Stegostoma tigrinum: one gene and its partners. The protein of the gene in region 3 interacts with the protein of the main gene of each other region in a pairwise test. Links are inferred from orthologs where the notes say so. Each region holds a gene or a part of one and is shown on either strand. Other genes may lie near its edges.

Evidence for each region.
Region 1: the proteins of cep70 (region 3) and enkd1 interact in binary tests that used the Homo sapiens proteins (3 or more experiments, as listed by UniProt). The link is inferred for Stegostoma tigrinum from reciprocal best matches to the Homo sapiens genes CEP70 and ENKD1.
Region 2: the proteins of cep70 (region 3) and cwf19l2 interact in binary tests that used the Homo sapiens proteins (3 or more experiments, as listed by UniProt). The link is inferred for Stegostoma tigrinum from reciprocal best matches to the Homo sapiens genes CEP70 and CWF19L2.
Region 4: the proteins of cep70 (region 3) and protein PIMREG-like interact in binary tests that used the Homo sapiens proteins (3 or more experiments, as listed by UniProt). The two-hybrid records come from large-scale screens. The link is inferred for Stegostoma tigrinum from reciprocal best matches to the Homo sapiens genes CEP70 and PIMREG.

Annotation. Positions count from the first base shown.
Region 1 is NC_081393.1:16,154,644-16,163,018, reverse strand, and holds the start of enkd1 (enkurin domain-containing protein 1), read right to left. Parts: upstream 3,029-8,375; 5' UTR 2,981-3,028; intron 468-2,980; 5' UTR 459-467; coding exon 374-458; intron 1-373. UniProt on the Homo sapiens protein: Microtubule-binding protein which regulates microtubule organization and stability. Promotes the stability of astral microtubules and facilitates the proper orientation of the mitotic spindle.
Region 2 is NC_081359.1:69,860,590-69,868,380, forward strand, and holds the start of cwf19l2 (CWF19-like protein 2), read right to left. Parts: upstream 3,328-7,791; 5' UTR 3,322-3,327; coding exon 3,229-3,321; intron 1-3,228.
Region 3 is NC_081360.1:66,673,218-66,680,737, reverse strand, and holds the start of cep70 (centrosomal protein of 70 kDa), read right to left. Parts: upstream 3,423-7,520; 5' UTR 3,078-3,422; intron 2,912-3,077; exon of another isoform or gene 2,786-2,911; intron 1-2,785.
Region 4 is NC_081380.1:25,349,412-25,356,640, forward strand, and holds the start of protein PIMREG-like, read right to left. Parts: upstream 3,285-7,229; 5' UTR 3,225-3,284; coding exon 2,967-3,224; intron 1-2,966. UniProt on the Homo sapiens protein: During mitosis, may play a role in the control of metaphase-to-anaphase transition.

The DNA of each region.
Region 1 (8,375 bases), on a different chromosome or scaffold from region 3:
CTTGCGCCTATTCTCGACTGAATTTCATCCTAGTATTAATAGGATGTCCAATTATTGTAAATATAACAAGCCTTGAAACTTTCAGTTAGATTCCAACTTGTTATTTTCCCAAGTTTCTAGGAGTATACTGCGTCTGCACAACAATTCTGCTTGTGAAGTAACAAGGTAAAGACATTTTTCTTCATTTTGTTCTTTCAGACTTCCTTAATCCACGCATAGATTTCCAGTGCACAGAATGAGCAAAAGCGCAAGGATCATTGCATGCAGAAACACTTCTTTCAACTTTGTTTCATCCCAGATGAGAATAGGAAATTCAACCAACAACGTAAAAGGAAGATGGAAGCACTTCACTGGAAAACAGGTAAAGCCTCACCTGACAGCGGACGCTTGTAGAAATCTGGGAATAGTGTTGGGTCTGGTGGAATGGGACCAGATATCTTGGAGGGACCCTCGGACATCTTGGTTACCTAACAATACAGAAACAGCTATGTCTAAATAGTTTAAGTGAAAAAGGAGGAACATAGGAATAGGAGGCAGCCAGTTAGTCCCTCAAGCCTGTTCTACCATTTAATTAGATCATGTCTGATCTGTGACTCAATTCATTTTCCTGTTTGTTTCCTGGCACTCAAAAACCCTGGCTTACAAAAGAAAATTCCAATTTCTGTGTTGAAAATCTTGATTGATCTCCAGTGTTACCTTTTAGAAGAAAGAATTGAAGATTTATTCAACGCTTCATACAAAACCATATATCCTGATTTCCTGTCTAAATGCTATAATTTTAAGATCGTCCCTTTTTGGTTCCCCAGCAGACATAATATATTCCCTGTAGCAATGTTATTGGACCTACCATCTTGTTATTAATATAAATTCAATTAAAGATTCAAGAAAAACATTTATGCTCAGAAAAGTGAAATTTGAGATTGCATGAAATGATTAAGGTGAATAGGATAGATATATTTCAGAGAAAGACAGATGCATGTATGACGGAGAAAGGAACAGGAAGTCACACTGCTAGGGTGACAGGTGGGAGGAAGGGCATGTGGAGTAGAAATGTCAATGTGAACCTGAAAAAAAAACTTCACTGTAAATTCTAGGTAATTCGACATGTCTTATAGCTTAAATCTCACCTGCGGCACAGGGCCCAAAACTGAATACAATACTTTGAGTGAGCTCTTTACAACTAAAGGATCTGTTCCTCACTATGCTAACTTTAGATAAAGATTTCATTAATCTTGTTGGATTACTTGTAAAACCTGTTGACTAGTTTTGATCTGTGCACATGAACATCACACTCAAATCCTTTGATTCTCCTTAACTCTTAATCTTTGAGTTAGTTGCCTTTTTTGATTTGTCTCTGGATCTAGAGCATCAGTGGAATAATCTGTAGAGACAGCTAACGCACCTAATTTGCTTTTAATTTTAAGTTTTCTCTCTCATTCCCTTCCTGAATAGCAGAGTCATATTTGCTACTCCCCAGTCCACAGGGCCAGTGCTAAAATCTAATAATATTGGAAAATCAAAACCAACACTTCTAATAATTTTGCAGCTCCTCTTTTTAAACCCTATGATGTCTTTACTATTTTAAACTAATTTAGTTCTTTACACTAATTAAACCTTAGGTTTCCAAATATTTTGATTATTCCTCTTATGGCATCCATTATGAAGTCAGGTACAGAAAATATTTCTTTAACATATTGTTACTTTCATTGTAATTTCTCCCGTCTTTGCCTCAATTACATCAATTTTACTTCCACTGATCTCTTCTAGCATTCTTAGAAAAGCTTTTACAAGCTGTTTCCTTGATGGCTTTCTCCCATTCTATTTTCATCCTCTACCACATTTTTGGTCAGGTTTTCCTGATTTTTAAAATCCTCTGGCTCACACCATCCTTTTTGGTAACATTGCAAGCTGCTTCTTTGAATCTAAGACAGCACTATATTAACTTTATTATTGTGCCATAAATGGGAGTGTTTTCCAGTGGTGTTTTATTCCTTGAAGAACTGTACATTCATTGGGAGAAAATAATTCTTACACATTTGTCATTACTTATGTGTTAATATATTTATGTAATTTCCCAATCTACTTTAAACAACATACCACTCTTTACCTGCTAAAGTGACTTTGCCTAATCCAAAGGCCTAGATAATCTGCACCACACTGAAGTTTACTGTGATTTGATCATATCATTCCTTCTCAGAAAACCCTTACAGGACAGTGGTTGTCAAAGGATGGCCCCCACACCAGTGGTTGTCCACAAGGATCTTTCATCCACCAACTAGTTGAAAATGCAACACAATGCATGGGGTCACACAAGGCAACAGGCTAAACTTTCATCTCCATCACTCATGCAACATCAGGCAACCAGACCACTCCCATGCACATAACACAAAATGTCACAAGTGCACACAACAAGTACAATTTATGTCACCAAGAAATTGGATTTTCAACATTTGTGGGGCTAAATGACAAGAGGAATGCAGCTATTTAGCATGGTCCTGCATATCTACTCATTAGCATCTCATCAGAAGCAGTTTAATTCTTCCCATTAATTCTAACGAGCGTTTTTGCAGTGGTAAGCATAGTGGTTAAGGTAGAACCGATGGGTAGGCTAAAGGGTCATTTGACCCTTATAAGGAGCCTTGGCCAACACAGTTCAACAACCCACTCTTCTAACCCTGTTTGATTGCTGGGACTAAAACCTGTTCCCATCTTGGTTCCTTGTGGGAATCAATGCTGGAGTTATTGGGCTGGAAAACACTTTTGCAGTGTGGGCAGAGCCTACTATGGTCAGAATCCAGTGTATCACTGGCGAGACAAGTTGCAATCAGCAGTAGTCTGGTTAGGACTCCCATTTGCTTGGGGAGGAACGGAATACAGGCTGGCATCAGTCAGAGACCTCCAATGTAAGCCCTTAAGGATTCACAATCAGGACCACCGCAGCTGGGAATACAACCAAAAAGCGCAACAGCCACAGGCTCACCTTCCAACTTTCCAACCGTCCCCGGGCATGCGTACGCCACTTTGAATACACGCATACGCAACGTCATTGCGTCACCTCCGTCACCACGGCAACCGCGTCCTTCACGTCGTCCTGCCATAATTCATGCTTTGTAACATTGGCTACTTCTGTCTTTGACTGTCAAAATGCATGACATATCCATTGAGTTTCTATGGGATATTCGTGATCTAATACAGAATCTCACTGGGAATATTAGCATATAGTATTTGGTTTTAGTGTCAACATCAGGGTGTTGTATCAAGTTTCATTGTGCATATCAGCGTACAGTATTATAGGGATAATTAATACTCATGGAGTCTCACCGTGAGTGACAGGGAAATGCTCACTATGCATCAGACACTCTTTTAGTTTCACCTCATGTTATTCTTCATGTTCTCCAAAGGCAGACACTTTCTTGACCCTGGAGACTGAGGAAAAAGGCATTTTCGGCAGGCTTTTAAAATGCAGAATACTCCCAAGCCCAATTATTCATTTCTCATCACACTCAGAAGTTATATTCATCATGGAGGCTAAGCAAGACTAGTTGTCTAGGCGCTATACAATAGATTGTAAGGTCAGGGAGTCATTCATAATATTATTGAATGATCGTGAGTTAAGACAATGCTAAGGCAGGCTGTGCATCATCCATGGGTTGACCGTTTTTTAACCACTTAATTTATTTTACCAGTTGATGTATCTCACCTGCTCACTTCCCCACCACTGTGCCCACTTGGATCCTTACACTGTGAAGCATGTCACACAGAAACATCGTTTGTAAAAGGTCGCATCAGACTTAGACAGAGTAGGAGACACGCTGTTCATTCATTATGTTCTTCTCCATTTTGAATTGATCCGTTAACAACTCCTCATTGTCATGTCAAACACGCAGACAGATTAGCAGATGACAGACTGCACACAGAAATAGAATTAACATTCTGAAAGTCTTTATTTTTGTTTCCATTCCTCTTTAGGTGGTTAAAAACACTGTATATCTTTGGAACAATGTTTCAATGGGTGATTCTTGTACTTCTCCCAAACTGGGAATGGGAGCAGACAGAGGGCCAGATAGTAGTCACATGTGCACCTGGCTATGTGGCACAAGTTTGCCTTGGGTCCTGAATGGTAAGGAAAAACTGTTCAGAGATGGCCATCAGAGAGTGGAATTCAACAAAAATATTTTTGTTAAAAAAAGAGGTTCTAGAAATAGCTAATTTTCTAAATTAGCTATTTTCCCCCAGATCAGCAATGCATTATAGGTAGGGTCATATTGAGAAGTTTCATGGTTCCAACACAGAAAAGATCATACACTATGTTATGAATACAATAAACTGTAAGTGAGACAAACTCATTCTTTACAGTTTCAGATTCCAGTGCAGTATTTTTTGTAATTAAACAAGCCTTTGTTTTTCAAAGAAAGATCACATCCACTGCCTCTTCACAACTCTAACTCAGTCTCCTCCTTTTAGGCACTCCTTAAAAACAAATTCTTCAGCAAATCTTTTGTTCCTCTAATCTAATTTCACCTTGTGTGATTTGGTGACTCATTTTATTTAATAATAGTTTTGTCAGATACATTGAGACATGTCATTTTCAAATCAATGGTGCTATACAAATATGTTGTTTGCACTTCTATGATAGCGGTCCAAACATGATCAATAAGAAACCCATTCCTCCACCCTTTCAAATAAACTGTTGAATCAAAGACTCTCTGCCAAAATATTAATGACGCACTGACATTCCCTGTGCCACAGTACTGAAGGGCATTACTCATGAAGCCCTGCATTGCTAGAGACGCAATGGGAGAATACTGTACTGCTAGAGATTTAGTACTGAGGGAGCACTGTCAGAGTACAAGATAATAAATTGTGAGGCTGGATGAACACAGCAGGTGATGCTGCTGGGCCTGCTGTGTTTATCCAGCCTCACAATTTATTATCTTGGATTCTCCAGCATCTGCAGTTCCCATTATCACTGTCAGAGTACTATCAGCTTTGATAAAATGTTATACTGCCTTAAGTGCAGGATTACCAAATGTGCCAATATTCGGATGAGATATTCAACCAAGGCACCATTACCCCCTCAGAGAAAGGTCCCATGTAAAAGATCTCATGGTACTATGCTGAGGGAAATCAGGGTGTTCTCCCTGGTGACAGTCCAACATTTATCCGTCAACTAATAGCAAATCTGGTCAGTTATCATATTGTTGTTCGTAAGAGGTTGCTGTGCACAAATTGGCCACCATATTTCCCAACACTATAGTGGTGACTACAATTCAAAAATTAGCATTTAAGGCTTCCTGAAGTTTTGGAAGATTGTAAAGAAATAGAATTCTTTCTTTCTTTCCTCAGAATAGACATTTTCCTTCCAGGGGAGCTACAATATATGCTGTAGACTGCCCTCTTCCCCTAGTAACCCTAATGTTAGGTGTCATTCATTTAAGGAATTTGTAAGTGCCTAGCATCTGCTTTATTTATGGCCCTACACTTCCCCTTGTTAGTGTTCTGAACATACATAAATCTCATTCAGTTAAGCTTACTTGAAGGACACTCCACGATCCCATCAATGCAGCTCCATCTGTAATGGATCATTGGATTGCAACCTTCTCCTACTCGTGTCTTGTAGCAGCACTGATGCTGAAGGCAGCACCTTAGAACAGAGAGGTAGTAACAATAATTCAGAAGATGCATTCACATTAGAGGAATGATGCGTTTACCCTGGGCATCAATGCATCAGAACATTACAGACAGAAATTCACAATGATAAAGGAGAATGATAGTCTGAATTCATACAACACTGTATTGAATGTAAAAGATCCATGATGAGACACAAGGATGCTAACAGCAGAAGTAAAGCAGGTCTTTTACTCATCAGCAAGCCTACAACACTCCAAACTTTCCTGCCACTTTTAAAATCTGCAAGCTTTCAAACTTAACACTGAATTATTCCTAGTCCATTAACACATGATTTACTCAATCATTTTTCTAATCTCTCCAAAATTTTCTCTAGTGCCCTTTATCAACGATATTCAATTTTTTTTAGAAAAGCAAATTTTTTCTTATTTCTAAACATGCTTGACTTTTATTTGCATTTAAATCCATAATCCTTTTAGCTGTTTTGTGAGATTTCAAGTATCCGGGTGTTAGAATGATCATAATTCTGAGCCTGTCAGATAATTGGAACCATTCTTAATTTCACAGCTTCTCTGAAATTTTCAAATGTCATTTCATAGGATGTTGGCTTTGTTAGTAAAGCTTGTTTTGTTGATAATTCCGAGTGCCCTTGAACTGAAAAGCTTGCAAGGCTATTGGCTAGTTAAAAGTTAGCATGTCCAGAGTTTATGTGAAACATATCAGGTAGGGGGTGGCCATGGGTACCCGCATGGGCCCAAGCTATGCCTGCCTCTTTGTAGGGTACATGGAACAATCCCTCTTCCAAAGCTACACTGGCCCTATCCCCCATCTCTTCCTTGTTACATTGACGACTGTTTTGGCACCGCCTCGTGTTCCCACGAGGAGCACAAACAGTTCATCCACTTCACCAGCACCTTCCACCCCAACCTTAAGTTTACCTGGACTATCTCTGACACCTCTCTCTCCCTCCTGGACCTCTCTGTCTCCATCTCTGGCATCCACCTGGAAACTGTTATCCATTTTAAGCCTACCAACTCCCACAACTACCTAGAATATTCCTCCTCTCACCCACCTTCCTGTAAAAAGTCCATCCTGTATTCCCAATTCCTTCGCCTCCGCCGCATCTGCTCCCGAGACGAGTCATTCCACTCCCGAATATCCCAGATGTCCTCTTTTTTCAAAAACCACAACTTCCGCTCCACAGTGATCGAAAATGCTCTCGACCATGTCTCCTGCATTTGCCGTAACTCATTGCTCACACGCCCTATTCGCAATAATAACCAAAATAGAAACACTCTCATTCTCACGTACCACCCCACCAACCTCCAAATCCAACGCATCATCCTCCGATATTTCCGCCAACTGCAATCTGACCCCACTACCAAAGACATTCTTCCCTCCCCACCCTTATGTGCTTTCCGGAGGGACCACTGTCTCCGTGACTCCCTTGTCCGCTCCACACTCCCCTCGAGCCCCACTACCCCTAGCACTTTTCCCTGCAACCAAAGCAAGTGCTACAAATGCCCCTATACCTCACCCCCATCATTACACAGGATTACACATCAAACAGATGTTCACCTGCACATCTGTTAATGTACTATACTGCATCCACTGTTCCAGTTGTGGCCTCCTCTACATCAGGGAAACCAAACGGAGGCTTGGGGACCGCTTTGCAGAACACCTACGCTCAGTTCGCAACAAATAACTACACCTCCCAGTCGCGAACCATTTCACCTCCGCACCCCTCCCCCCACCACTCCTCGGACAACATGTCCATCCTGGGCCTCCTGCATTGCCACAATGACGCCACCCGAAAGATGCAGGAACAGCATCTCATATTTCGCTTGGGAACCCTGCAGCCCAAGGGTATCAATGTGGACTTCACAAGCTTCAAAATCTCCCCTTCCCCGACCACATGCCAAAACTAGCCCAGCTAGTCCCAGACTCCCTAACTATTCCTCCCACCTCAAGCCCCACCCCCATCTCCTACCCACTAACCTCATCCGGCTCTCCTGACCTGTCCATCCTCCCTGGACTGACCTATCCCCTTCCTAACTCTCCACCTACATTCACCTTCACTCGCTCTAACCCCGCCTCTTTGACCCGTCTGTCTCCTCTCACCCTATCTTCTCCTTTATCCATCTTCTATCCACCTCCACCGTCTCCCTATTTATTTCAGATCCCCTTCCCCTCCCCCATTTCTGAAGAAGGGTCCTGAACCAAAACGTCAAGCTTTCCTGCTCCTCTGATGCTGCCTGGCCTGCTGTGTTCATCCAGCTTCACACCGTGTTATCTCAGGTAAGGATAGCAGATTTCTCTTCATAAAGGATATGGGTGAACTAGCTGTGGGGCTTGAACCAATGCCTTTGACATTAATATGGGACATTAACACTATACTGCCATCTCCCTTTCACATTTGACTGAGGTTTTTGTTCTATTTTGCCTTTCTATCAGATTGCATGGGTGCATGTAACTGGGAATGGTGCAATGTTATGCAGAAGTTGAACTGTGCCAGGATAAGGCAGGTTCAATAGGTTAGCTTGTATTCATCTGTCCTTTTTCAAATGTTTAAAATTTATTCTAGTGGCTCAATGTTATTGTCTGAATTGGGGGTACATAGGTTTAAACCCTAGCTAACTAGATATAAACACACAATCCAGTTGGTCCCTTGGTGTACTGTAAAGGACACTGTGTTGTTGGATTTTCAGTTAGATACAAAAGATCCTCAAGCACTGTTCAAAATTAAT
Region 2 (7,791 bases), on a different chromosome or scaffold from region 3:
AATAAGTCTTTGTCTCTCCAAATGCATGTAAATCCTTTCAAAATCAGGTCCAAAACTTACACATCACCACGTCGGGCTCACAGGTCTATAGTTCTCAGACTTCTATTTATAGCCTTTCTTAAATTAAGGCACAACATTAGCCTCCCTCCTGGCCTCTGGCACCGCATCCATAGTTATAGATGAAACAAATATCTCCGCTAGGGATCCTGCAATTTCTTCCCTAACGTCCCACAAGATGCTGGGATACAGATGATTAGGTCCTGGAGATTTATCCACATTTGTATTTTCTAAGGCCCCAGCACTTCCTCTTCTGTAATGTGAATTTTTTTCAAAACATCACTATTTATTTCCCAAATTCTCTAGCCTCCATTCCTTTCTCAATAGTAAGAACTATTGCGAAATCTTCATTCAGTATCTCTTCCATCTCCTGAGGTTCAACATATAGATAGCTTTATTGATCATTATGGGGCTTGATTCACTCCCTAGCTTTTGCTGTTAACATACTTGCAGACTCTCTTCAGATTATCCTTAAACTTATCTGCCTAGGCTATCACATATGATCTTTTTGCCCGAGATAACAAGGTGTAGAGCTGGATGAACACAGCAGACCAAGCAGCATCAGAGAAGCAGCAAGGCTGACATTTTGGGCCTATACCCTTCTTCAGCCTTCCTGCACCTCTGATGCTGCTTGGCCTGCTGTATTCATCCAGCTCTACTCCTTGTTATCTCAGATTCCCCAGCATCTGCAGTTCCCATGGCCCCTTCTCTTTTTGCCCTCCTGATTTCCCTCTCAAGAATGACTCTACACTCTTTATACTCTTCAAGGCATTCATTAGATCCCAGCTGCCCATATCTAATGTACGACTCTTATTCTTAACCAGAACCTCAATATCTTTATTCATCCATTGACCCCTACTCTTATCAGCTTTGCCCTCCACTCTAATAGGAACAGAGTTCCTCTAAACTCTCATGAGCACACCATTAAAAGCTTCCACTTGTCAAATTGCATGGTGTTCTATCTATAAATATAACACCTCCTTTACAGGCATTTTTGATTAACTGGCACCATCTCCTGGAGCATATAGTTTTCTTACATAAAGGCGAATATTAGGATCTAAAATGAACTGCCTTAGTGTGTTGTGCAGCCAAACAGATTAGGCCTTTCAAAATGAAACTAGATAAACAACTGACAATAAATGATTTGCAGTGTTAAAGAAAAAAGAGCAAGGGAATTGAGCTAGGTGATCTTTCCTGTGCAGACTTAGGAAGGCAAATGGTCTCCTTTGGTGCTATAACCATTTCCTGTTTCTACGAATACGTGTATATTGTTGTAAAATACTAATTTTTTTTACAAAAAGCTACCAATTTTAACTTCTGACTTGAATTCAGATGAATTAACAAGGCTGAAATCTTGATCAAGTGCTGCAATATCTTGCCACTATGCTTCACCAACTCACATAACAATTTATTTCATCGCGAATGCGAGGAATGCACAGAAAACAGCTTTACTTAAAAAGGGCCAAAGTACAAAATATTTAGATTTTACTTCAGTTTTCCTTTCCTCCTATAATATTTTTCCTGCTGAAGATATGCACATGAGAACATGCAAAATTAGGAGCAGGCCATTCACCACCTCGCCTCCAAATCATCAAGTACATAGGATGGCGTGTAGAGGGTGGGCCTTTGTTGGAAAGGGAATGAAGGTTAGAATTAGGGCACTGAGAAGTTCACACCTGAAATACTCTATAGTTTTGTTCCCTTACACAAGGTAAGATATACCTGCATTACAAGCAGTTCAGAAAAGCACAATGATTCTGAGGGAGCTTAACAGGGCAGATGTTAAGAGGATTTTCTTTTGCGCTCACATGAGAATTTAGAATTCAAACAAGTACGTTCAAAATTAGATGTCATCCATTTGTGACAGAGATGAGCAGCAAATCTTCTCTGAGGATTCTTAATCTTTGAAATTCCCTTCCACAGAGCAGTGGGGTCACTATGTTCAAGGTAGAGTTAGACAGATTCTTGATAGACAAGGGAGTCAAGGGCTGTGAGGGATATGTAAACATATGAACTGAGGCAACAGTAAGCCTTTAAGCCCCTCAATCCTAGATTCCATTCAATAAAATCATGGCAGATTGGATCACTCCACATTCCTGTCTACACACAACAGCCTTTCACCCACTTGTTCACCAAGAACTTGTCTACCTTTACCTTAAAAATATTCAAGGGCTCTGCTTCCACAACATTTTGGGATCCAAAAACTCATAACCCGCAAAAAAATCTTATCTGCCCAAAATAGGTGACCCCTTATTTTTAAGATAGTTAGATCTATGAGTCACTTTGCTTACAAAGAAGAAACAACCTTTTCACCTGCAATCTGTCAAGACCCTCAGGATCCTGAATATTTCAACCAAGTGCATCTTACTCTTCTAACTCCTGCAAAATCAAGCCTAGCCTGTCCCAATATTTCCTCAGAAGACAATTTGTCCATTCCAGATATGAGTTTAGCAAGGGTGCTTTTACCTCCTTCCTTAAAAAGGAAACTAATACTGTACAAAGGACTCCAAATGTATACTCACCAATGCTCCACATAACTGAAGTATAATCTACCAACGTTTATATTCAATTCCCCTAACAATAAATAATAACATTTTCTTGTTATCCTACTTAGTTGTTGCACCCGCTCAATAATATTTTGCAACTCATGCACTTGGACGCTTAGATCCCTCCAAACCTAAGAGTTCAGCAATCTCTTACTGCTTAGACAATATGCTTTTTTATTCTTCCTGCCAAAATCGACAATTTTGTATTTCCGCACGTTATACTCCGTTTGCCAGATCCTTGCCCATTCATTGGAGTCTACAACATTTGGCAGCCTCCTTACGAGCACTTTACAACTTGCATTACTAATTATTTTTAAATTTAGCAGCTATATCTTCAATCCCTTCATCCAAGCCATATCTATAAACTAAAAATAAGGACACCCCAGCACTTTTTAATTGACACGAATAAACTAATTAAATACAAACAGTAAAGGTTAACTTTATAAGTGAATTCACCCAACCCTTGCGAAGTTGACATTCCTCGGGCTGTCAACAACGCCGTAAGCTATTTGGCCTCTCGCTGTGTTTACTATGGGTGATGGGGAGGGGGCTCGGTTAAAAGTGTTAGATCGTCTGCGTCCTGGTCACGGCTGATGCAAACAAATAGACAGAACTGAGACAATACCTTGGTCACAATTTCCTCTCTCGCTTTTCGTTTAAATTCTCTTCGTTCCTCGATTGCTTTCGCACTTTCAAACCTGCCTCCGTATTCCGCCATCTTGCCTTTACCTTAGCAACAAGAACTTTTACGACAGCCGTCGTGAAGATTCGCCGGTGTCCCGGAAGCTGCGCGCGCACACTTGGAAGAATTGTTGCTTTCTTCTCCTTTTCAGTTGTTTATACGAGAATTAGATATAAACAAAAACAGAAGTTATTGGAAAAGCTCAGCAGGTCTGGCAGCATCTGTGAAAAATAGTCAGAGCGTTCTGAGGAAAGGCCACTGAACCCGAAACGTTAACACTGATTTTTTTTCCTTCACAAATATTGCCAGACCTGCTGACCTTTTCCAGCAACTTATGTTTTTGTTTCTGATTTACAGCATCCTCAGTTCTTTCGGTTTTAATTGGATATAAACGTTCATTTCTAGTATCAAAATATATGCTAGTGCAAAAGAAAAGTCAAATTTTGTCAGATTTTAAAATCTACAGTTTAGTGTCAACTGAGGAATAATAAGCAAAACTTAAAAATTGGCAGATAACAAAGTGTGGAGCTGGATGAACACAGCAGGCCAAGCAGCATCTCAGGAGCACAAAAGCTGACGTTTCGGGCCTAGACCCTTCATCAGAGAGGGGGATGGGGAGAGGGTTCTGGAATAAATAGGGAGAGAAGGAGAGGCGGACTGAAGATGGAGAGAAAAGAAGATAGGTGGAAAGGAGAGTGTAGGTGGGGAGGGGATAGGTCAGTCCAGGGAAGACAGACAGGTCAAGGAGGTGGGATGAGGTTAGTAGGTAGGAGATGGAGGTGCGGCTTGAGGTCGGAGGAAGGGATGGGTGAGAGGAAGAACAGGTTAGGGAGGCAGAGACAGGCTGGGCTGGTTCTGGGATGCAGTGGAGGAAGGGGATGAGCTGGGCTGGTTGTGTGATGCAGTGGGGGGAGGGGACAAACTGGGCTAGTTTTGGGATGCAGTTGGGGAAGGGGAGATTTTGAAGCTGGTGAAGTCCACATTGATACCATTGGGCTGCAGGCTTCCCAAGCGGAATATGAGTTGCTGTTCCTGCAACCTTCGGGTGGCATCCTTGTGGCACTGCAGGAGGCCCATGATGGACATGTCGTCGAAAGAATGGGAGGGGGAGTTAAAATGGTTCGCGACTGGGAGGGGCAGTTGTTTATTGCGAACTGAGCGGAGGTGTTCTGCAAAGCGGTCCCCAAGCCTCCGCTTGGTTTCCCCAATGTAGAGGAAGCCGCACCGGGTACAGTGGATGCAGTATACCACATTGGCAGATGTGCAGGTGAACCTCTGCTGAATGTGGAAAGTTATCTTGGGGCCTCGGATGGGGGTGAGGGAGGGGGTGAGGGGGCAAGTGTAGCACTTCCTGCGGTTGCAGGGGAAGGTGCCGGGTTTGGTGGGGTTGGAGGGGAGTGTGGAGCAAACAAGGGAGTCAGAGAGAGAGTGTTCTCTCCGGAAAGCAGACAAGGGTGGGGGTGGAAAAATGTCTTGGGTGGTGGGGTTGGATTGTAGATGGCAGAAGTGTCGGAGGATGATGCGTTGTATCCGGAGGTTGGTGGGGTGGTGTGTGAGAACGAGGGGGATCCTCTTGGGGTGGTTGTGGCGGGGGCGGGGTGTGAGGGATGTGTTGCGGGAGACGCCGTCAAGGGCATTCTCGATCACTATGGGGGGAAAGTTGCGGTCCTTGAAGAACTTGTACATCTGGGATGTGCGGGAGTGGCATGTCTCATCCTGGGAGCAGATGCGGAGGAATTGGGAATAGGGGATGGAATTTTTGGAGGAAGGTGGGTGGGAGGAGGTGTATTCTAGGTAGCTGTGGGAGTCAGTGGGCTTGAAATGGACATCAGTTTCTAGCTGGTTACCTGAGATGGAGACTGAGGGGTCCAGGAAGGTGAGGGATGTGTTGGAGATGGCCCAGTTGAACTTGAGGTTGGGGTGGAAGGTGTTGGTGAAGTGGATGAACTGTTCGAGTTCCTCTGGGGAACAAGAGGCGGCGCCGATACAGTCATCAATGTAACAGAGGAAAGAGGTGGGGTTTGGGGCCTGTGTAGGTGCGGAAGAGGGACTGTTCCACGTAACCTACAAAGAGGCAGACATAGCTTGGGCCCATGCAGGTACCAATGGCCACCCCCTTTGTAGGAAGTGGGAGGAATCGAAAGAGAAGTTGTTGAGGGTGAGGACGAGTTCGGCTAGGCGGATGAGGGTGTCGGTGGAGGGGACTGGTCGGGCCTGTGGGACAGGAAGAAGCGGAGGGCCTTGAGGCCATCTGCATGAGGAATGCAGGTGTATAGGGACTGGATGTCCATGGTGAAAATGAGGTGTTGGGGGCCAGGGAATTGGAAGTTCTTCTTCTCACCCATCCCTTCCTCCCACCTCGAGCCGCACCTCCATTTCCTACCTACTAACCGCATCCCACCTCCTTGACCTGTCCGTCTTCCCTGGACTGACCTATCCCCTCCCTACCTCCCCACCTATACTCTCCTCTCCACCTATTTTCTTTTCTCTCCATCTTTGGTCCACCTCCCCCTCTCTCCCTATTTATTCCAAAACCCTCTCCGACGAAGGGTCTAGGCCCAAAATGTCAGCTTTTATGCTCCTGAGATGCTGCTTGGTTTGCTGTGTTCATCCAGCTTCACACTTGATTATCTTGGAATCTCCAGCATCTGCAGTTCCCATTATCTCTTAAAAATTGGCAGGTAGTTGCTTCTGAAGCATAGCTAGGAGGTGCACATCAGGACCGTACAGAGCCCCTGACAAGTAGACTCTAAGAAAAACCCTGAAACAAAATATTACTGCATAAACTCATCAGGACCAGCAGCATCTGTACAGAGATGTGGAGAGAAAGGCTTTCCAACATTCTGTACACCTGTTGAATAAAATTTTCCTGCCAGGTTTGGAATGAGGATTTACAGCATTATTTCGAGTTTCTTCCCCTGTTATGGTGTGCAGAGACTGTCCAACAGAGAGCTGTTCAGGCATACCTAAAAACACACGACCAACAGCTAATTGGTAACTGCCACCTTTGTGTCATGTTGTGACTGGGTTTGCAACTATTATGATCACACCCTAGTTGCCAGTAGCTAACTGACAAAAGACACTAGGGAATTTGCCATCCTTAGAAAAACCTATCTACTGTGTGTTTTATATTTTGCATATCTGAATCAGAACCGCAATGCCCTCAGCCTCCTCTGCTCCAAGGAAAATAAACCCAGCCTGTCCTCATTACTCAGACTTTTCCTCCTAGGCAACGTTTTGTTAAACCTCCCCTGCACACTCTACAATACAATCATATCCCTCATAATGTGTACTCTAGAACTGCACACAATACTCTAGCTATGGCTTTATGCTTTATATAGTTTCAGCTAACCTCCCCCCTCTTAACGTTCATGCCTTGTCTGATGTCGGATCTCTCTGTGACGTACAGGGTGATGCTTACACTTGTTCCTTTGGGTCACACTTTGACCTATCCAGCCCATGGGATCTCATCACGATCAAACAGGGAGTTACAAAACCCTTACTTTTCTGAGGTTTGGAGTATGCTAATATTCCAGAATGCACAAAGTTGTTCCAGATATAGACAGTAGGCTACACGAGTGACGGGATTGTGACAATTATTTGTGCATTCTCTTGTTGAGGCTTCTGCTGCAGTTTAATTGGCAATACTGGCATGGCAGCAGGACTCACGCAGAATTGCAGCAGCCTCCTGGTGGTCTGAGTTGGCAGCAGGAGGTAGTGATTGCTTCCTCTGATCACTGGGAGGAGCTGCAAAGACATGACTCCTTCTGGTGAATGATGCAAGGTTCACAAGCTGACCAAAATTCCAGGCAGTAGCTAGGCCCAGGTGGGTCCAAGTGGATCCAAACACTTGTATGGAGATAAGATTTAAATTTTTAACATTCTTTTATTTCTGCCAATGTTTTCTTTTTAAATTCTGGTTTTGTAACCAAGATGCCACTGGAGAAGGGTGACTTTGTACACTTTTCACTGTATGTTTTACTTGAGTACACATCAAAAAATTCTAATAATGGCATAATCCCATCTGCCTTCTCAACCACTCTAGCTACTTGTCCTGCTACCACTGTACATGCTCTGCAGGGTGCCCCGATCCTTGGTACTTCCCAGGGTACTACCATTCATCATGTCCAGGTGCATCACTTCAAACTTATCCAGATTGGATTACATTTGCCACCAATCAGCCTGTCTATATCCTCCTATAACCTAAGGTTAGCCCATTCACCCCACTGGAAACAGACTTCCAGTCTCAAACACAGCCCTCAACCACCACCCTCTCCTTCCTATCACTAAACCAATCCTGAAACCAACTTGCCAAATTTCTTTGGATGCCATGGGTTCTTACCTTCACGATCGGTCTCTCATTTGCAACTTTGTCAAAAGCCTTGCCATTCCAAATTGGCTGCATTAGAATGCATTGCCCTCTTCTACACAGCTGGTCACCTCTGAATTTTTCAATCATATTGGTCACAAATGGCATCTCCTTGACAAAACCATACTGACGGTTCT
Region 3 (7,520 bases):
AATCCAGTTCTCCAAGTTCATCTGCCTTAACTATTATGCTCCTTGAAATAAGTACACTTCAGGCTGCCACTCTGATCTAGTTCAATAACCTTGTCAGGCCTGCTCTTCCTATTCAAGTGACTTACACTGCACTGATTCCCAATTCCTTGCAGCACTAGCTTAAACCCTCACGAGTGGCACTTGCGAACTTCCCCGCAAGAATATTGGTACCCCTCTAGTTTAGGGGCAACAGGTCCTTCTTGTATCCATCTCTCCTGCGCTGAAAGAGATCCCAACGATGCAGAACACTGATGCCCTCCTTCCTACACCAGCTCCTCAGCCACGCATTCAACCACATTATCTTTCAAAACTTCTGGCCTCACTAGCAAATGGTACAGGGTGTAGTCCAGAGATTACAATGCTAGAAGTCCTGCTCTTCGTTTTTCTATCTTATTCCTTAAACTTTCTTTGCAGGACCTCATCTCTCTTCCTGCTTCTGCCGTTGGTACCAATATGGACCATGATCTCTGACTGCTCACCCTTCCGTTTCAGAATGTTATGTGCCCACTTAGAGCCATTCTCAAACCTTGCACCAGAGAGGCAACATATCATCCAGAAGCCTTGCTCATGGCCAGAGAAACATCTGTGAACGAGACTACAGAGTCTCCTATTACAACCACTCACCTAAACTTCGATCCTCCCTGTTGTACAACAGAGTCAATCATGGTGCCACTGTCCTAACTGCTGCAGTTGCTATCCTGAAAGAGCCCATATCTTCCCTCCCCACAACCCACTAATATCCAAACTAATATACTTCTTTGACAGATGAATAGCTACAGTGGATTCGTACAATTCCTGCCTGCCCCTCCTGGCAAACACATCAGTGACTGAACCTTTGTTTTGGCCATATCCCAAAACTTATAGCTATAAAACTTTCTGCCTCCAGTATACTTCGCAATGAGTCCAACTACTGCTCCAACCCATCCACAAAGTTCAAGAGGAGCTGCAAGGTGGACACAGTTGTCAGGGATACATGACCTCTCCCAGATCTCTCAGGGGGTGCATACCACTCCAACTTCCATTACTACCCCTCTGGAAATTACTAGATTAAAAAGGAAAAAGGAAAGACTTGACCTTGCTGCATCTTAATGTTACTTGCCCTCATTACAAAAGCCCACACGTTGAACTCAAGCTCACAGCCCTTCTCCAAAGCGGCCACTCCCACAAGAGCTCACTTTCCTTTAATATGCTACCAGTAGGAAGGGAAAGTTGGTCTCTTACATGTCCCTGAGATAATGGGAACTGCAGATGCTGGAGAATCCAAGGTAACAAAGTGTGGAGCTGGATGAACACAGCAGGCCAAGCAGCATCTCAGGAGCACAAAAGCTGTCGTTTTGGGCCTAGACCCTTCATCAGAGGGGGTCTGATGAAGGGTCTAGGCCCGAAACGTCAGCTTTTGTGCTCCTGAGATGCTGCTTGACCTGCAGTGTTCATCCAGCTCCACACTTTGTTTTAAAAAAGTCAGGGACATATAAGAGAACAACGAGCCTCTGTTGGATGCTCTTCCCCTTTTTTAAGCACAGATTCCTATTGTACGTGAACTCCTGTTCAGATACAAAGCAACACAAAATGTGATATCTTCAGTTTTTGCCTTGTTACAAACTTCAGTTTTCTGGTCATCACAGTCTCCATCTTCACAACAAGCATTTCTAACTATCTCAATCATTTTTCTAACCTCTGCACTGCATCTGTCATCTTCTGTCTTCGTTTGTCCTAAGTAGCCAATTTAAGTAATTATTTCAGGTAACAACATTCATTTCATTCTGGTTTCTTTCAATGTACTCATTTTTAAACAATCATTCTATTGCCTTTTTGGTATACACACAATGAATATTCTGAATTTATAGATTTTACTTGATATTTTGTTAGCCCACATCCAGTTCTGCAAGCAGCAATGTGCTCATCAGCACACAAGATTAGTTATTGCTTCTGATTAATCCTAAACACTTGTTCTGTAAATAAATTGAACAATAATGTGGTTTACAACACTTTTCCTTTTACTCAAAATGCATTTCATTGCTTCTTTGTAGGCCAGTGTTCACTACTTAGAACCTCTCCAGACTTTGGATTCTTATCTTCATTATCAATATCACATTTCAGCAAGATAACAAAGCGTGTAGCGGGATGAACACAGCAGGCCAAGCAGCATTTCAGGATCACAAAAGCTGACATTTCAGACCTAGACCCTTCATCAGACCCGCTCTGATGAAGGGTCTAGGCCCAAAACGACAGCTTTTGTGCTCCTGAGATACTGCTTGGCCTGCTGTGTTCATCCAGCTCCACACTTTGTTATCTCGGATTCTCCAGCATCTGCAGTTCCCATTATCTCTGATCATATTTCAGCAACATGTCTATTACCTTTTTTTGGGCGATAAACATGATCAAACACTTTTTCATATTCTATGAAGTACATGTCATTTTTAAAATAGCAAATATATGCATATCTTATTCACAGACAGGCCACAGCCACAAAGCAGAGATGACATGAGTTGTCGGATCTGCAGACTGAAAAATCTGTAAATGATAAGTAGGAGAAACGGTTCGTTGCAGTTATCAACGGAGAGCAAGTAAGAGTGTACATACTCAGAAATAGTAACAGAAAATGCTGGCAACGTTCAGCTGGATCAAACAACCTGAGTGAAAGCTGTGTGAATATCGAAATATTGAATCAATGACTGTACCTCAATTACTACTTCAAACCACTAGCAGAATAATATTTCGGCCAATATCGTCGCTTAATACATACCAATTCTCCACCTTACTGTATCTACAGTTTCAAAAATGAATGAACGCCTCCCTCCGGTCTCTTCTTTCTAATACGCAACCGCCGTTAACCCACCCTCCACAGGCCGAGCTGTTCAACAGCCGGACATTCGGCGGGAGGGGAGACCCCACCACAAAGCGATACGGGGGGGGGGAGCAAATTACAGTTATTCCATATTATCAACATCGTTTTTTTTTTCAAAAAAAGGTTTACTACAACTTTTCCAATATTACCACAAACAAATTCAAACCGTTTCCAAAACACACATACTTACTGCTTAGCTTCTTTATCATCGTCAATAATTTCAATCGCCTTTATCAGCTTCTCCCTTTCCCTCAAGATGATACGCTCCCATGGGCAGAGCCAACCCCCTGAACGTCGACGCGCAAGGTAACCGCACCCTCAAGTACAAATTAGCCACTCAGGTTACATACAGAGAAAAAACCAATCAGAAAGCAGGAAATAAACAAATCGGAGATAATGGGAACTGCAGATGCTGGAGAATCTAAGATAATAAAGTGTGAAGCTGGATGAACACAGCAGGCCAAGCAGCATCCCAGGAGCGCAAAAGCTGACGTTTCGGGCCTGGACCCTTCATCAGAGGATGAATAAACAAATCGGATCGGTGGGAGTTAGCCAATGAAATCACATGCAATGAACCAATCGGATTAGCCAATCGGATTAGGGAACGCGAACGGGGATTCTTCCCGTTGGAGCGGGAGAGAGGTGAGTGTTTTCGCGAGATCTGGTCTGCGCAGCAGTGGAGGGAGTTAGGGGAAAATGTGTATTTTGTGTGCACGACTATCCTGACGGCTGTGTTTACTGCTGAAGGTGTCAGATGCAAATCAGGCAGCGATCCGGGGTTTTCCTTGGATATCTATGTGAAGAACACGGCCGCTGTCGCGAGGAAGGTTGTGGCTGCGAGTTGCCATAGTTACGGTCGGTGTTGGCCAGACGCGGAGGAGCTCAGAGCTAATAAATAACAGGTGGCCTTTAAATTTTCCTTTAGAAACATTGTGATTCCTGCTCAGTCTAAGATTAAACTTTACCTTCCTATTTTAGAGTTAATTTTTAAGTCCCTTATCGAAGTCATTAGTGCTGTAAACTGGGATTAATGTAGATAACAAAAGTGTGGAGCTGGATGAGCACAGCAGGTCAACCAGCACATTAGGAGCACAAGAGCTGACGTTTCGGGCCTAGACCCTTCATCAAAAAAGTAGATTCTGTTCTGAGGAAGGGTCACCGGACCCGAAACGCTAATTCTGTTTTTTTATTTCCTTCACAGATGTTGCTAGACCTGCTAAGCTTTTCCAACCACTTTGTTTTTGTTCCTGACATACAGCATCGGCAGTTCTTCTGGTTTCTATTTAGTATTTTTTTTAGAGCAGATCACACATGGCTGTCTCCTGACATTTTAATGAAGTAACAAGTCATTGTTTATCGCTGAACTTACTAAATTCCAGGTGGTCCAACTAGTTGAAGGCGTTTAAAGCAAATATATTCAGTCAGTATTTACCAACCGTTTCATAGGCTAGAATAAAATATACTCATGATTGTAATCAGTGTTTAGGACGGCATCTTAACGAGTAAAGCAAATGAAGTAAATAACTACCAATATCAGAGATAACAAGGTGTAGAGCTGGATGAACACAGCTGGCCAAGCAGCATCAGAGGAGCAGGAAGGCTGACGTTTCAGGCCTAGACCCTTCTTCAGAATTCTCCAGCATCTGCAGTCCCTACTATCTTAGAAACAATTTTAACCACCAATGTCACTTCAAGTGTTCATCTAAGTTTTTTTTTAAGAATGGGAGTTTAATCACCTCAGCCAGCCTTCTAGGCAGCGCACTCCAGATCCTCTGCCCTCCGCGCAAAATAAAAATTTCCCCAAGTCTCCTCCAGACCTCCCACCTTTCACTCAAAAGTGTCCCATGATTTAGTGTTTATTTTAAACTAAAATTTCTTTAATTGTGAACGAATACTTCTTCCAAAGCAAGTGGCTTATTATATGACCAGAGATGCAGGAGTAGGTGTTGTTCCTTTGCTTTACTGATTAGCAACCAGAGCAATAGCCACAGAAAATCTATCGCTGGACCACAGTAATACCACAGCAGATGCCAAGGTAGCTGAAACTGTACTTAAGAATGTTCTTAAGATAATTCAAAAGAAGTGTTTGGCATTTTTTCATTATTAGAGGCTTGCAGAGCAAATCCAGAGTGAAGTGAGTTAACACAGAAAGCTAACATTGAGGCTGCCGGAGTTCTAGACTGTTTATGTACTACAAGCAAAGTTTTGATGACAAAGTCTGAATGGTTGTTCATCAAATATCTGCCCAGATATCATAAGAAAAAAATGCACATGGAGTTCCTATGACAGGGCATATAGGAATACAGAAAACACAGGCATTGAAACATAGATAATTTACATGGTCAAGATTTCATATGTATCAGATGGTAGAAAAACCTCACCATGAAATCAAACCAGCAGCATTGATAGCCAAGCTGTTTTTTTTTAAAGAACGATTTAGTTGAGTGTTAGTAGATTGTGTAGGACTATTATCACAAACAAAAGCAGGTTAACAGTCTATCCTTAAAGTTCTGGTTAGGAAGGATTTTATCAAATTGGAGAGGGTTCGGAAAATATTTAGCAAGATATTGCTTGGAATGAGGGGGTTTCAGTTATAGAAATATGCTGGGACTTCTTTCACAAGAGCATAGGAGGTTGAGGGGTGACCTTGTAGAGGTTTATAAAATCATTAGACTCAAAGAAAATGTGTATAGCAAAGGTCTTTTCACTAAGGTGGGTGAATTCAAAACTAGGGGGCATATTTTTAAGGTGTGAGGGGAAAGTTTTAGAATGGCGAGGGGCAATTTTTTTTTACACACAGTGGTTTGTGTGTGGAATGAACTGTTAAAGGAAATGGTGAATGCAGGTACAGTTACAGTGTTTAAAAAACATTTGGATAAGTCCTCAACCAACCTTCCAGACCCCACCACAACCCTCTTTACAGGTTGGCATGATGGCTCAGTTGTTAGCACTGCTGCCTCACAGCACCAGGGACCTAGGTTCACTTCCACCCTCGGGTGACTGTCTGTGTCGAGTTTGCACATTCTAGCAGTGTCTGAGTGGGTTTCCCCCGGGTGCTCTGGTTTCCTCCCACAGTCAAAAGACGTGCAAGCTAGGTGGATTGGCTGTGCTAAATTGCCCGTCGTGTTCAGAGATGTGTAGATTAGGTGGGTTATAAGGATAGGTCTGGGTCGGATGCTCTGAGGGTTGGTGTGGACTTGTTAGGCCAAAGGACCTGTTTCCACACTGTAGGGACTTTGAGATGAGATCAGTATATGAATTGGAAAGTTTTGGATGGATGTGGGCCAAATGCAGGCACTAGGACTAATTTAGTTTTGGAATATGATTGGCATTGCCTAATTGGACTGCTGGGTTTGTTTCCATGCTGTTTGACTCTATGAATCTGCAGGATTCTTTACTGCAGAGGACTGTAGAACTGGGTCATCAAGTATGTTCAAGGCTGAGATGGATAGATTTTTCATTAATAAGGCATTCCTGGATTATGGTGAAAAGTTTAGGTGATGGAGTTAAGGATTACAAGATGAGCCATGATTTCATTGAATGATGCAGCAAAATTAAATGGCTGAATAACCTATTTCTGCTCTCAGACTCCTGGTCTTATGGCCATAGATTGGAATACAATTCTGTTAGTTCGAATGCCCGACAGCACCTCATGAATACCCAGTCTTGACGTGCTAGATCTATCTGATCTATCCCATTTCACGTGGTGATTGTGTTACACAGAACAGTGCAAGGTTTATTCAATTTGAAATGGAACTTCGTCTTCACAGAAGACCACCATACCGTGGTCGCTCATACCGATACTGTCATAAACAGATGTATTTGCCACAGTCAGCTTGATGAGGGTGAGGTTAGCGGTGTTTTTCCCTCTTGATTCCCTCACCACCTGCAGCAGATCCAGCCGTGTTCTTGAGGACTTTGTCAGTTTCATCAGTAGTAATACTGCTGAGCAATTCTTGGTAGACATTGAAGTCCCAAACCCACAGAACATTCTTCGCCATAACCATCCTCATTACTTTCTGCAAGTGGTGTTGTACACAAAAGTGTACTGATTCATCTGCTTGGAAGGAGGCAGGGGGAGATCATAGTTGGTAATCAGCAGGATGTTTTGTGCTGATTGTGTTACCATCACACTACACTATGCATCTGTCTTGCCAGTCTATACCCAGGGGTGCTAATGTTCTCTGAAATATGTGTAAGGTGTGATTCCTTGTGAATGTCTTTGTCAGGCTTTTGTTTCATTGGTCTGTGAAACCCTCTCCTGATTTTGGCACAAACCTCCTGGTGTTAGTAAGTAGGATATTGCAGAGTCAACAGGGCTGCATTTACCATTGTAATTTCAGGTACTAAATTCTAGGTGGTCCAACTAGCTTGGCTTTCTAGCAATTTATACAACTGAAGTTGTTATTGATGCAACTGAATGGCTTGATATGCCATTTAGGAAGGCAGTTAAAAGTCATCCATATTGCTATGGGTCTAGACTCACACAGAGGCTATTTTCCTTGTCTAGATATTTGTCAATCCTACAGGTTTTTATACCATTGGTTTTGTGGTCCAGAAATTGGATTGAATTCAAATTTCACCATCCGCTGTGGTGAGATTCAAACCTGAGTCCCTAGATTTTACCTAGGTC
Region 4 (7,229 bases), on a different chromosome or scaffold from region 3:
AATGATGTGAATTTTAAAATCTTGCAGCTGTTTTACTGTGAGTCAGTGTAGGTCAACAACAGGACTTGATCTTAGTTAAGACAGGGAGCTGTAGAGTTTAGGGTGACCCAAAGATTATAGGGATCTCACAAACAGCAATGAAGTATAAACCATATAACAAAATGTGAGGCTGGATGAACACAGCAGGCCAAGCAGCATCTCAGGAGCACAAAAGCTGACGTTTCGGGCCTAGACCCTTCATCAGAGAGGGGGATGGGGTGAGGGTTCTGAAATAAATAGGGAGAGAGGGGGAGGCGGACCGAAGATGGAGAGTAAAGAAGATAGGTGGAGAGGTAGGGAGGGGATAGGTCAGTCCAGGGAAGACGGACAGGTCAAGGAGGTGGGATGAGGTTAGTAGGTAGCTGGGGGTGCGGCTTGGGGTGGGAGGAAGGGATGGGTGAGAGGAAGAACCGGTTAGGGAGGCAGAGACAGGTTGGACTGGTTTTGGGATGCAGTGGGTGGGGGGGAAGAGCTGGGCTGGTTGTGTGGTGCAGTGGGGGGAGGGGACGAACTGGGCTGGTTTAGGGATGCAGTAGGGGAAGGGGAGATTTTGAAACTGGTGAAGTCCACATTGATACCATATGGCTGCAGGGTTCCCAGGCGGAATATGAGTTGCTGTTCCTGCAACCTTCGGGTGACATCATTGTGGCAGTGCAGGAGGCCCATGATGGACATGTCATCTAGAGAATGGGAGGGGGAGTGGAAATGGTTTGCGACTGGGAGGTGCAGTTGTTTGTTGCGAACTGAGCGGAGGTGTTCTGCAAAGCGGTCCCCAAGCCTCCGCTTGGATTCCCCAATGTAGAGGAAGCCGCACCGGGTACAGTGGATGCAGTATACCACATTGGCAGATGTGCAGGTGAACCTCTGCTTAATGTGGAATGTCATCTTGGGGCTGGGATAGGGGTGAGGGAGGAGGTGTGGGGACAAGTGTAGCATTTCCTGCGGTTGCAGGGGAAGGTGCCGGGTGTGGTGGGGTTGGAGGGCAGTGTGGAGCGAACAAGGGAGTCACGGAGAGAGTGGTCTCTCCGGAAAGCAGACAGGGGAGGGGATGGAAAAATGTCTTGGGTGGTGGGGTCAGATTGTAGATGGTGGAAGTGTCGGAGGATGATGCGTTGTATCCGGAGGTTGGTGGGGTGGTGTGTGAGAACGAGGGGGATCCTCTTAGGGCGGTTGTGGCGGGGGCGGGGTGTGAGGGATGTGTTGCGGGAAATACGGGAGATGCGGTCAAGGGCGTTCTCGATCACTGTGGGGGGCAAGTTGCGGTCCTTAAAGAACTTGGACATCTGGGATGTGCGGGAGTGGAATGTCTTATCGTGGGAGCAGATGCGGCGGAGGTGGAGGAATTGGGAATGGGGATGGAATTTTTGCAGGAGGGTGGGTGGGAGGAGGTGTATTCTAGGTAGCTGTGGGAGTCGGTGGGCTTGAAATGGACATCAGTTACAAGCTGGTTGCCTGAGATGGAGACTGAGAGTTCTAGGAAGGTGAGGGATGTGCTGGAGATGGCCCAGGTGAACTGAAGGTTGGGGTGGAAGGTGTTGGTGAAGTGGATGAACTGTTCGAGCTCCTCTGGGGAGCAAGAGGCGGTGCCGATACAGTCATCAATGTGCCGGAGGAAGAGGTGGGGTTTAGGGCCTGTGTAGGTGCGGAAGAGGGACTGTTCCACGTAACCTACAAAGAGGCAGGCATAGCTGGGGCCCATGCGGGTGCCCATGGCCACCCCCTTAGTCTGTAGGAAGTGGGAGGAGTCAAAAGAGAAGTTGTTGAGTCTGAGGACGAGTTCAGCTAGGCGGATGAGAGTGTCGGTGGAGGGGGACTAGTCGGGCCTGCGGGACAGGAAGAAGCGAAGGGCCTTGAGGCCATCTCCATGCGGAATGCAGGTGTACAGGGACTGGACGTCCATGGTGAATATGAGGTGTTGGGGGCCAGGGAATTGGAAGAATTGGATGCCACCCGAAGGTTGCAGGAACAGCAACTCATATTCCGCCTGGGAACCCTGCAGCCATATGGTATCAATGTGGACTTCACCAGTTTCAAAATCTCCCCTTCCCCTACTGCATCCCTAAACCAGCTCAGTTCGTCCCCTCCCCCCACTGCACCACACAACCAGCCCAGCTCTTCCCCCCCACCCACTGCATCCCAAAACCAGTCCAACCTGTCTCTGCCTCCCTAACCTGTTCTTCCTCTCACCCATCCCTTCCTCGCACCCCCAGCTACCTACTAACTTCATCCCACCTCCTTGACCTGTCCGTCTTCCCTGGACTGACCTATCCCCTCCCTACCTCCCCACCTATACTCTCTCCACCTATCTTCTTTACTCTCCATCTTCGGTCCGCCTCCCCCTCTCTCCCTATTTATTCCAGTTCCCTCTCCCCATCCCCCTCTCTGATGAAGGGTCTAGGCCCAAAACGTCAGCTTTTGTGCTCCTGAGATGCTGCTTGGCCTGCTGTGTTCATCTAGCCTCACATTTTGTTATTTTGGAACTCTCCAGCATCTGCAGTTCCCATTATCTCTGAAGTATAAACCATATCATTTGTTTAAGCGATGTTGGTTTGGAGATAAGCTTTTGATCAGGACATTATGGAGAAGTAAGCAAAAATTAACGTGACACTGTCTGCAATGTAAGGAACGCAGCCAATTGCCACATCAGCCCATGTCAGTGGAACCAGTCATGTATATTTATCGTACAAGTTATATTACAGTCCACCGCGGTCAGGCACACAGTACGTTATCTGGGAAATGTCTGCCAGCTGAATAGTCTGAATAGTCAATGCTGCTGGCTTCCAAATTACTTTTACACTTTTCTACTAAAATAAAACTGGAGTCCATATTTTTCTTAAGCAATGTCAGTTTTTGAAACCTTGACGTTTTAAATGGAATAATGGCACTGCTACACTCCATGGTGTCAAGTGTAAGTAAAAACAAGTTACCAGGGAGACGTTGCCCCATGTGTTCCTCGCAGTCCGACCTATAGTTTGTAAAGCATTAGGTTTCTTGGTGAGCTCCAGACTCTCCCAAGTCGGGGTGTGGTCGATGTTAAAGTCCACCTGCCCAAGAGGCAGCCTCTTCCTCAGGGACATGCGGATAGTGTTGAGGGAGCTGGACGAGGACATCTCCCTGAAAAGATCGGCTGGCGGGCTATCGCCTTCTTCCTGCAGGATCTGATGGTGCTTTCTCCAGCTTGTCATTACGACCTCCGTGGTTGGGATCGAACGCCTGAATGTCTGTCCCTTTCTTGTTTTTGAATTTGGCGCAACTTTGTAGCGGAGTGAAATTCCCGCGATCCGATTGGTGAAACTGACAAGATGACGTACTGAGGCCCGCGCTGATTGGCCGTCGGTTATGTCACTGGGAGGGGATTGCTCGGGCTCCGGCTACTTTGTTCCCAAGCCTTTGTTTCCCAACAGGAAAAAGGATCCGATCAAGTAACAGCAATGTGTCCATTTCTTCCCGGGAGCTGATGGAAATTACCCTTTCATTCTCGTCGTCCCAGCGCCTTCTGGTGAGACCACGAAACATGGGCTGCTGCCACAGTTCTTAATATTAGAAAGTAAAACACTGCTGCACTCATTTAAAACCAGTGAAACAAATCGTACAGAAAGGCAAAACGGTTCCAGTGACAATTTCTGAAGAGGGATCACTGGACTCGAAACGTTAACTCTGTTTTCTAACTTCCCAGATGCTGCCAAACCTGCTGAGTTTCTCCAGAGTTAGTAGGAACTGCCGATGCTGGAGAATCTGAGATAACAAGGTGTAGAGCTGGATCAACGCAGCAGGTCAAGCAGCATCAGAGGAGCAGGAAAGCTGATGTTTCGGGCCTAGACCCTTCTTCAGAAAGACCCGAAACATCAGCTTTCCTGGTCCCGTTATCTGACTTGCTCTGCACCTCCAGCTCCATATTTTATAGACCCAGATTTATCTTCGCAAGTTATTGCAAAACACCGAGCTTTAAACATGAATATTGATACGATTTGAACGCAGGTTGTTAATAACTTGGAAGAAATAGGGAGAATCCTTTCCAAGCGATCGTTTAACTGGTCGTCCCACGCTTCGAACCGAGTGTCTCTAAGATGTTTGTTATCCTTGGGTTGGGGAAGGGGGGATTTGCACATTGTTTTCCGTTACACGCTCTTAATTCTTCACTGAAAACAGGTAAGCAGGGCATTTGTACAGTTAAATCTTCCCTCCACCACGACCGACCTTAGAGTCATAGAAAGGCGACACAAATGGGAACTATTAAATGAAATCTTACAGGGCCCGAGGATGTGTGCTGTGGTAAAAAGCTCGATTCTGTACCATGCGGGAAGAAGCCATTCGGCCCATCTTTGCTGCACCGACTCTCTGAAAAGAATCCAGCCCAGACCCAAGCCCCTACCCTATTCCTGTAGCCCTGCATATACCCTTGCTTTCCACACTTAGCTTGCACATTCCAGGGCAGTTCAGTATGACCAGTCAATCTAACCTGCACATCTTTGGACTGAGGGCGGAAACAGGCACATTCTGCAGAAACAGGGAGTAAATGCAAAATCCACATGGACAGTTACCTGAGGCTGGAATTGAACCTCCCTGGCTCTGTGAGATAAAAGTGCCACCCATATCTGAGAGTATCACTGAAAAGTTAACAATGCCGATATGAAGGTTGGGATTGAATTAGTTGTGTTTTCCAGCAGAGTTCAGGAATTGGAGACAGGGTTATTGCTGGGCAGCTGAGATGCCTATTAGCTGATCGTCTGTCATTCTCTTAAACTGCAAATCTGGCCTTGCAAATATATAGCTTTCTATTGTGCCGCTGCTGTGAGGAATATACACACCTCCAGAATTCCCGACATGAAAGGAAATGGATACTTCATCTCTCTAGCTCACCACTGACTCCGCCAAACCTTCACACCAGTGCTGCTGTCAGAACATCAGAAGCTTACAGGACCTGGGAGGTTGGCAGTGTCCACAACTTGCTACACCACAGCAACACCTCTTTTTGTTATGGCCAGACCCTGGGATTCACTATTCACCAAAACCCACTGGCCCTGTAGAAGTATGCAGAAATTCTGCATTCCCTGGCCCATATAAAACCCTAAACCAAATATTGCCTCAGAGAATGTTACATCGTAGGATATGGTCATTTCTGCAATGAAACTATGCCAACTCTGCTGTAAAACCCTAGACATTAAAATGGATACCTGTTGCTTAGCATTCCCCTGCATACACATTGAATTAAAGTGAGCAGAAGTGGGAGAGAATAATACAAAGCACATGCTGGAGATCTGAAACAAACAAAATCAGAAATTGCTGGAGAAACTCAGCAGATCTGATGAAGTGTTACTGGATATGAAATTTCTTTCCACAGATACTGTCAGAGCTGCTGAGATAGCACAGAAACAATGGGATGATCTGTGTTTGGGGAGAGTGCACAAAGTGAATATGAACAGAAGCCACCCAAGCCCTCCAGCTCCTCCAGAACTTCCAATTCCCCAGTCCCCAACACCTCATTTTTACCATGGACATCCAGTCCCTATACACCTGCATTCCCCTTGCAGATGGCCTAAAGGCCCTCCACTTCTTCCTGTCCGGCAGGCCCGACCAGATCCCCTCCACCGACACTCTAATCCGCCTAGCCAAACTTGTCCTCACCCTCAACAACTTCTCTTTCGATTCCTCCAACTTCCTACAGACAAAGCGGGTGGCCATGAGTACCCACACGGGCCCAAGCTATGCCTGTCTCTTTGTAGGTTACGTGAAACAGTCCCTCTTCTGCACCTACACTGGCCCTAAGCCCCAAGTCTTCCTCTGTTATATCGATGACTGCTTTGGCGCTGCCTCATGCTCCCAAGAGGAGCTTGAACATTTCATCCACTTCACCTACACCTTCCATCCCAACCTCAAGTTCACCTGGGCCATCTCCAACACATCCCTCATCTTCCTGGACCTCTCTGTCTCCATCTCAGGCAACCACCTAGAAACAGATATCCATTTCAAGCCCACCGACTCCCACAGCTACCTAGAATACACCTCCTCCCACCCAACTTCCTGCAAAAATTCCATCTCCTATTCCCAATTCCTTCACCTCCACCGCATCTGCTCCCAGGGTGAGGCATTCCACTCCTGTACATCTCAGATGTCCTCGTTTTTCAAGGACTGAAACATCCCCCCCACAGTGGTTGAGAACACCCTTGACCATGTCTCCCGCATTTCCACAACTCATCCCGCCCACCCGCCCCTGCAATAACCACCAAAATAGAATCCCCCTCGTCCTCACATACCACCAACCTCCGGATACAATGCATCATCCTCTGACACTTCCGCCATCTACAATCCGACCCCACCACCAAAGACATTTTTCCATCCCCACCCTTGTCTGCTTTCCGGAAAGACCACTCTCTCTGTGACTCCCTTGTTCACTCCACACTCCCCTCCAACCCAACCACACCTGGCACTTACCCCTGCAACCACAGGAAGTGCTACACTTGCCCCCACACCTCCTCCCTCACCCACATCGCAGGCCCCAAGATGACTTTCCACATCAAGCACACCTGCCAATGTGGTATACTGCATCCGCTGTACCCGTTGTGGCTTCCTCTACATTGGGGAAGCCAAAGAGAGGCTTGGGGACCGCTTTGCAGAACACCTCCGCTTGGTTTCATGAATGCAGAATTTCATTTTAGTAGATAGATTGGAAATGTTGAGCTTGTTTTACTTGGAGAATGTTGACAGGCGATTTGTTATAGGTATTCAAAATCATGAGTCGTCTGGATCAAATCGATAGTGAGTAAACTGTTTCTGCTGGTGGAAGAGTCAAGAATGAGAGAGAGCAGATTTGAAATAATGAACAAATCAAGCACACGTGACAGGGGGAGAAACGTTGTCAAACTGCGAGTTGTTAGAATATGGAATGCCCTGCCAGAGAATATGGTGGATGCAAGTTCAATTGCAGCATTTGAGAAGGAATTGGGTCATCACCTAAAAAGGAAGAAAGTGCAAGACTATGAGAAGAAAGTGTAGCAGTGGCACTGGATGCATTGCTCATTTGAAGAGCCAGCTCAGACACAGTGGGCTGAATGGCCCCCTGCTGTAATCCGTTTGTGTTTCTGTGATCAATTATTTGTGCAAATCTCTTTTAATAACAACTGTATCAGAAATGATGCTTCTAAAACTGTTTCCATTTGCACAAAACATTTGATAAGCCCGTATACATACAG